Linked DNA regions of Sus scrofa. The protein of the gene in region 2 purifies or fractionates together with the protein of the main gene of each other region. This does not show direct contact. Links are inferred from orthologs where the notes say so. Each region holds a gene or a part of one and is shown on either strand. Other genes may lie near its edges.

Evidence for each region.
Region 1: the proteins of CBX5 (region 2) and MBD1 purify together in Homo sapiens (affinity purification with western blotting; 3 studies listed by BioGRID and IntAct, with this or other methods). This does not show direct contact. The link is inferred for Sus scrofa from reciprocal best matches to the Homo sapiens genes CBX5 and MBD1.

Annotation. Positions count from the first base shown.
Region 1 is NC_010443.5:99,914,471-99,918,585, forward strand, and holds the start of MBD1 (methyl-CpG-binding domain protein 1), read right to left. Parts: upstream 2,852-4,115; 5' UTR 2,699-2,851; intron 1,424-2,698; 5' UTR 1,399-1,423; coding exon 1,289-1,398; intron 1-1,288. UniProt on the Homo sapiens protein: Transcriptional repressor that binds CpG islands in promoters where the DNA is methylated at position 5 of cytosine within CpG dinucleotides. Binding is abolished by the presence of 7-mG that is produced by DNA damage by methylmethanesulfonate (MMS).
Region 2 is NC_010447.5:19,456,987-19,460,605, forward strand, and holds part of CBX5 (chromobox protein homolog 5), read right to left. Parts: intron 2,986-3,619; coding exon 2,799-2,985; intron 1-2,798. UniProt on the Homo sapiens protein: Component of heterochromatin that recognizes and binds histone H3 tails methylated at 'Lys-9' (H3K9me), leading to epigenetic repression. In contrast, it is excluded from chromatin when 'Tyr-41' of histone H3 is phosphorylated (H3Y41ph).

The sequences.
Region 1 (4,115 bases), on a different chromosome or scaffold from region 2:
CAATTGATCAGTATATAACCTTGTTTATACTGTGTATTTATGTTTAAAGACACTCTGCTTAATATATTATTCTTACAAATAATTAATTGCATGGCCTCTGAATGACATAAAGCCAGGAGCTTTGGAAGTCATCTGTGTTATATAGGTTCCTTTGTCAATGTCCTTCTAAAACAAGCTAATCTCATCAGCATTGAAAAGCTAGCTACCCTTCTAGATAACCCTTTATCCATATAACACTTAACAGGTGTTTTTAAAATTCTTCCAGACTCTGATCTGCAGAACCTGACTCCCTTGCAAATTTAACACTTTTCACGATGTATCAACTTGTAAAATGTGTGAGCCAGCCTGAACTAGCTGAGACAGGCTTAACATTTTCCTAACCCTAGGTAACATGATCATTAATGTCCTTTGCTTTCAGCCTCACAACACTATCTACTACACTTTGGTCATCATCTCATGGATCAATACATTTATCCACTTCTCCCCCCCCCTTTTTTGGCCACATGCATGGCATGAGGAAGTTCCCAGGCCAGAAATCAAACCTGTGCCACAGCAGTGACCCAAGCCACTAGTGATAACACTGGATCCTTAACCTGCTGATCCACAAGAGAACTCCCACCTTTTCCTTAGCTTCATCACATACTATAGATGTTAATTTAGCACTTTCTAGAGCAGTCTCATGTACTAACTGGCAAACTTCCTCTTCTTTTTCTAGGTATACTGCCTTTTTGACTCATTAATATTGAACTCACTGCCAACAGCACTGCAACTCATTCTTGAACAAAGCTTATTTAACATGTATTTTCTCCTATACCACATCAGATTTCTTACACTTAGAACACTAGGCAGCACATCAACACTACACTTGGGGACAACTATAAACAGCAAAAATAACCATTAAAAACCACAAAAAAAATGCAAAAAAAAAAAAAAAAAAAAAAAACAAGACGCTAAGTAGACCTCAAAAAGAATACTTGTTTACAATACAAGGGCTGAAAAGAAGAAAGCCTAATTCAACCTCGGCTGGGAACACATGCATCAGGCAACTTATTTTTTGCTGCTCTGTGCACATCCACAAATGACCATGAAAGCAGTGAGTATGACTCTGGGGGTACAAACAAATTTTAATGAGTAAACAAATTTGCAAATATGGAATCTGCAAATAATAAGGATCAACTGTACATGCATAATTTAATCCTGCCCATAAATTTAACCACACCCCCTGATTTTACCCTGCCTAATCGGGCTCAGCTCTAACCCCTGATTCTGTCCACAACCCACCCAGTACCTCTGGTAATAGGTGTCTGAGCGTCCGCAGGTGGCACCTGACTTTCGAAAGACCTCACGGCGCTTCCAGCCAGGGCCCAGGGCCGGGCAGTCCAGCCAGTCCTCAGCCATGGGGGCCACAGGAAGGAACGGCGGCCTGCAACATGGAGGGGGCAGTGGGAGAAACTGAGGCTCTAGGAAGGGACATGCTGTGCCCCAGGACACACAAATGTGTGGTGGCATCAATTAATGCTTGTTTAAAACCTAAGACCTGTCACAAGCAACTGGACAATATAAGGAAGAGAAAAACCCCCATCGCCACTCCATTCTTTCCTGTCCTGGGCCCAGCAGCTTGTGTCATTCATCCCCCTTCTTGATCTGGTAGCCCCATCCTCAACTCAAGGGTCCCTACCCTCAATGCATTCCTCACTTTCAGGGTCCTAATCCCCATCCCTCCCCATCCTCAGCCTGAGAGACCTCATTCCTCCCATTCTCAGTCCAAGAGGCCCCCACAGGACTCCTCCTCAGACTAAAGTCCCAGTACTCTACCTCGGTGTCCTGACCTCCCATTTATTCCCTTCCTTGACCCAAGAGTCACTAATTTCTCTCTTGCAATCCTTTATCCTTCCCATTCCTTCCCTCTATGCTGTCCTCTTATCCTGCTGCCTTGGTGTTATTGCCTCAATTTCTTCTGTGTCCTATGCCAGAGAGTCCCCCAAATTCTCCACATTTTTGACCTGAATAACCCTTCATTCCTTCTGTTCCTCAAACTGAAAGACTTCCCCACCTTACTTTCCCTTTGTCAGTGTTCTGAGACTCAAGTCCTTCCCAAGCCCCCAAACCTCCCTATTTCCATCTTCCAAAGCTAAAAAGTTCCCTTCAGCGTCCTCATCCTCTATTCCTCTCATCAGCCTGAGAAACCCTGATTTCTCCCTTCAGCATTCTGAACTCCCCACCCCTCTTCCTCTTGGTCCAGATCATGCCATCCCTAACTGTCAGTGTTCTGACCCCCTATCTCTCATCATCCTCTATAGGAGAACCCCGTCCCTCCCTTTCAGCATTCCAAAGCCCCATTTTCCCTCGTTATTAGCCTGAAGATCCCTCTTTTCTCCCCTTCAGCGTTCTAAACCCCCATTTCTCTTTCCTTAACCTGAGAGGCCCCGATATGTCCCGCTCAGCGTTCGGATCCTCCCCTTTTCCTCTCCGTCCTCGTCCAAGATCCGACACTTCCACCTGTCAGCCTTCTGAGCCCCATTCCTCCCCGTCCTCCGCCTAAATCTCCCCATTACTCCCTTTCAATATTCCGACGCCGCCATTCCTCCTACACATCGGCCTGAGGGCCCTTCATTGCTCTCGATCAGCGTTCTGAGCCTCAATTCTTCCCCATTCCCCGCCTGAGCGATCTTCATTTCCACCCCCACCACTGTCTCACCAGCTCGGCTCCCGGCCGGTACCTTCCGCCGCTCTAGGTTCGCGGACCCATGACGAGGGTCCCGGTTTTGACTCCCGCCCCGTCCAGCTTCCCTTCTTCCTTCTCCACAGCCGCTTCCTCCGAAGCGGTAGCTGTCGCCGCCGCGACCGTTCGTTGCTCCAGGAACCGGAAATCCGCTGCCCACATCTCGGGCTCCGCCCCCCCTGGCGGGACGCCTGCGCGCTAATGCCCTCTGGCGCTGGCCCTTCTATGGGATGCCTCTGCGCCTGCGTGTTGAGTCCTAGCGCAGCGCGCGCCTATTTTAAGGGGACCTGCTGCGCTTGCGTATTGGCATCTATCCCCAGCTCCCGCCTCTTTCGAGACCTGCTAGGCATGCGCACCTGCTTTGCCCTACTTTGCACGACTCGTTTTCGCTTGCTCTCTCCAGTCCCAGCCCAAGAGGACAAGGAAGACTGGGGTTGGTCTTGCCGTCTGTTTTGCTGGCGGCCTCCAACTGGAGTAATGGGAGGGAGCGGAGAAGAAGGCCGGGATTGAGCCGGAGCTCTCTTCTCCCACCTGTTGCCTCTGTCGCGTTTGTGCTCTCAAGTTCCTCCTGTCAAGGAAAAAATAATCAATAGTCGATCTAAAGGAGAAATAGAAAATTTTATTTGAGCCAAGCTGAGAATTATAAACCAGGAGATAGTCTATCAGAAAACTCCGAGACCTATTACGCCTATTAGAAGTCGAAGACACCGGCTTTTTTTTGTTTGTTTGTTTTTGGTCTTTTTGCCATTTTTCTTGGGCCGCTTCTGTGGGATATGGAGGTTCCTAGGCTAGGGGTGGATTCGGAGCTGTAGCCGCTGGCCTATGCCAGAGCCACAGCAATGCGGGATCCGAGCCTCGTCTGCAACCTACACCACAGATCACAGCTACGCGGGATCCTTAACCCACTAAGCAAGGCCAGGGATCGAACCTGCAATCTCATGGTTCCTAGTCGGATTCGTTAACCACTGCATGGGAACTCCCGAATACACCGTTTATGTATATATACACATATATATTTGAGACAAAGGATGAAAAATCAGAATGACCAGGAGTTTCCGTCATGGCGCAGTGGTTAACGAATCTGACTAGAAACCATGAGGTTGTGGGTTCGATCCCTGGCCTTGCTCAGTAGGTTAAGGATCCGGCGTTTTTCTGGCTGTGGCGTAGGCCAGCAGCTACAGCTCTGATTCGACCCCTAGCCTGGGAACCTCCATATGTCACGGGAGCAGCCCTTTCTAGGGCAAAAAGACCAAAAAAAGAAAAAAATCAGAATGACCAGCACCTTACATAAAGCGAAGGTACTGTGGCTGAACCACATTGACTCCGTTTTTTCAGCTCCATTGCAAACTCACAGTCCTAACCCCTCCCCTTTCTGCATGACTGAGCTCTAGCC
Region 2 (3,619 bases):
TATAAACTTCAAATATAAAACCTCTTAATCTTTATTTTTTTAGACTTTTAGTTCACCTAACACTGACCAATATTTTTAATACTTCTTTTCCCAGAGTCATCTATGCTTATGGAAGAACAGAGATAAGGATAATTCAAGGCATTATCATAAAACAGAAAATTTCTTTTCAGAGCTCACATACTGTAACACCCACACATTTGGGGAAGAGGCCCTGGTCTATGTCTATCCCTTCCTGAAGGGGATAGATCAATTGCATTAGAGAGCAGAACTGGGGACTTTCCTGGTAGTCTAGTGGTTAGGACGCACGCTTTCACTGCTGCAGCCCAGGTTCAATCTCTGGTCTGGGAATTGAGATCCCACATTAAGCTGCTGCTTGCTGCAGCCAAAAAAAGCCCCCCGAAAAAAACAAAAATAAAAAAAGAGAGCAGAACTAGACTGATAATTCTGTAAGGAATTATTCAGACTTGGTCAAACGATAATCACGCAGTCCAGACAAGGAGCATTAGAGTCTGATTCAGGTGTGCTGCCACTTGTGAGAGCAAAATGGTGAAATTTTATACAAACCAGGTAATTAAAAAAAACCTTTTTATGGAAGATAATGCAAGCTTATTTAGTGTCAATACAAAAAAAGATTTAGAAAGACTGCCCAATTGAACTAAATCTCTGATATCTGATTTTCATAATAAAATCTCTTTGCTCTGATATTCGCCTTGCTTTCTTCTGAGATACAAAGCATTCAGCGTCCAGGTGGTCCCCAAAGATACCAGAATCCAACATTGGGAAGGAAATTCCACGCATGGATCAGGGGACATACAGACTTAAAAACATAGCCTCTTTTGGGGGTGCTTAAAAGGAGGAGGTTCCCAGATGTGCACACAGCTGCTCACAGCTGGAATGCTGGCGCACGAACTGAGTCGTAAATCATAGCTGGCGGCTGAAAACAGTTTGCCACATAGGGAGGGAAGGAAAGAAAAATGTTCGAGATGCTGAAAAGGAGCCGAGGCGAGGAAAATGCTAAAATCATCACACAGGCAGTAATCTTAAATCAGGCATAATGCCGACTAACAAATTTCTTCTGCAGTGGTCTAAAGAAAGAAACGCAATCCCCTCCTGCACCCTTAAAACACACAATCACCCATCTTCCCAGCTGCCTACCTGACAGCCGCCAGCACTGCTGAGAATGCTGTCAAGGGGCCCCAGATGAACATTACAATGTAAGGGACATGTGGGGGTGGTTTTCAAGGTCAGCAGCATCAGAACCTGGCCTAGGAATGAAACTCTCTACACTGGCCAGTGGCTCAAAGTCAGATTGCTCATTTTTAAAAGGAGAGAAACTGTAAGTTGAGGAAATACAAACTATATGTCACAAATGGCTATACAGGTCTTATGCTGTGTTGTTTTTCAGTCTCTTTACTTAGCTAGAAAATGAATCAAATGACAAAACCAAAATACAAAGGACTAATAAAAAAAAAGAAAGAATCAAATCTTAGCTCCTTAGAGAAGAGAAGGCATTCTCAAATTATTTATCAGTACACTATATCAAATGTTATACACACCTCATCAGAACAGGGCAGTTTTAAAAATAAGATTGTAAAAAATAAAATTAATCATGGAAACAAATAAGGAGACAGACAAAAACCTAGAATCCACTTTCACTGGGAGCCTCCAATCTTTCACTCTTATTTCCATTCTTTTTGGAAAGCTGGTCTCCCATTTTCTCTCCTCTGGAGGTCAGGAATCACTTGTGCAAGTCTCTATAAAACACTGATGACAATGTCCAATCCACGGAAATTTGAACTTAATTAGTCTGGGGTGTTATCTTGGGCAGTGGAGTTTTTTGAAGCATTGTCCCCTAACCTCCTGTGGTGATTCTAATGTGCAGCCAGGGCTCAGAACTGATGCTCTAGAAACATGGGTATCCAAGGAAAACGAAGATAAATAGGGATGTTTATGGCAGTGACACTACAAGATTCAGAAGCAGACTTATGCTTTTATTTTATTAAACTTTAAGGGTATGATACATCTTTCACCACAAAAGGCTTCACAGCCTTGAAATAAATGAAAGCAGTAGAAGCTGGGGAGGTGGGTTATCTGTATATGTGTGTACAGATGGAAAAGATATAAATGAAAAAAGAAGAGAGGCAATAATAGTGCTTATGGCTAGTTACTTGAGAGCTAAAGATCAGAAGGATCAAAGCAACTGAATTAAACCAAAATTTCATAAACATACTTTCCAAACTGAACAATAAAAACATCCAAAAGGAAAATGAAAACTAATTTCTTATTTAATGTAAAAACATAGTAGGATCAGAAGGGAATATACATGCCACTGAACTGTACACTTCAAAATGGTAAACTATATGTTCTGTGGATTTCACCTTAATTTTAAAAGACAGAGAATTATAAAGGGTTGAAAATAAGTGTTAATTTTGGCACGAAAGAAAAAAGTGAAATGGTAAGACATTTTAAAGTTCCTTTCTATCCTTACAAAATTCACCAAAGACTCTAAGATAACTCTGCCTGTATTCATGAATAAGGCAGAGTATGAGATGTTTTCCAAGGATTTCATTTTCCCACCTTAACCCCAATTTAGAGGACTCATATTATGTTCCTCACTCAGTCAGGAGGGGGCGCTGTAGTCAATCAACATATCTCCCTGGACGCTCTATTGTTCAACAATTTACCTTGTAGCCATCCAGAGAAGGGAAACAACCAAAATAATGCCCTTTTTGGGGGGAAGGGGGAGCCACAGTGGCAGAAGAAATAGGTTGTTGAGGAAAAAGGAAAATAAAGCTTACCTCTCTCTTTTTTTTGGATTTGATATCATCAGCACTGTTGGAGAAATTGGATTTCCTCTTGTTACTTTCTGACTTCTCCCTCGGTTTGTTATTTTCACCCTCCTTCATCTTCTTATACTTTTTCATGAACTCAGAAATTAGCTCAGGGCAATCCAAATTTTTCTCAGGTTCCCAAGTATTGTGCTCCCTGGGCAAGAAGAATGGAGAAAAAAAGCAAAGAAATAAGGGGGGGGGAATCCAATGCCTTATTTAAAGAAGACAAGTAGGCAAGAAAAGAAGCGCTATTCTTTTTCTTTTTTCTTTTGTTTTTATAGGGCTGCACCTGCGGCATACGGAGGTTCCCAGGCTAGGGGGTTAAATCAAGAGTTGTAGCTGCTGGCCTGTGCCACAGCAGAATCCAAGCTGCGTCTGTGACCTACACCACAGATCAGGGCAACGCCAGATCCTTAACCCACTGAGGCCAGGGATGGCACCCATGTCCTCATGGATACTAGGTGGGTTTGTTATCACTGGGCCACAAAGGGAACTCCAGAAGCTCTTTTTTATTTTTTTGCTTTTTAGGGCTGCACCCATGGCACAGGGAGGTTCCCAGGCTAGGGGTCAAATTGGAGCTGCAGTTGCCAGCCTGCACCACAGCCACAGCAGCTCGGGATCTGAGCCACGTTTGCAACCTACACCATAGCTCTCGGCAACACCGATTCCTTAACCCACTGAACAAGGCCAGGGATCGAACCTGCATCCTCATGGATACTAGTCAGATTCATTTCTGCTGAGCTACAACGGGAACTCCAATAAATGAATTTTATGGTATATAAACTATG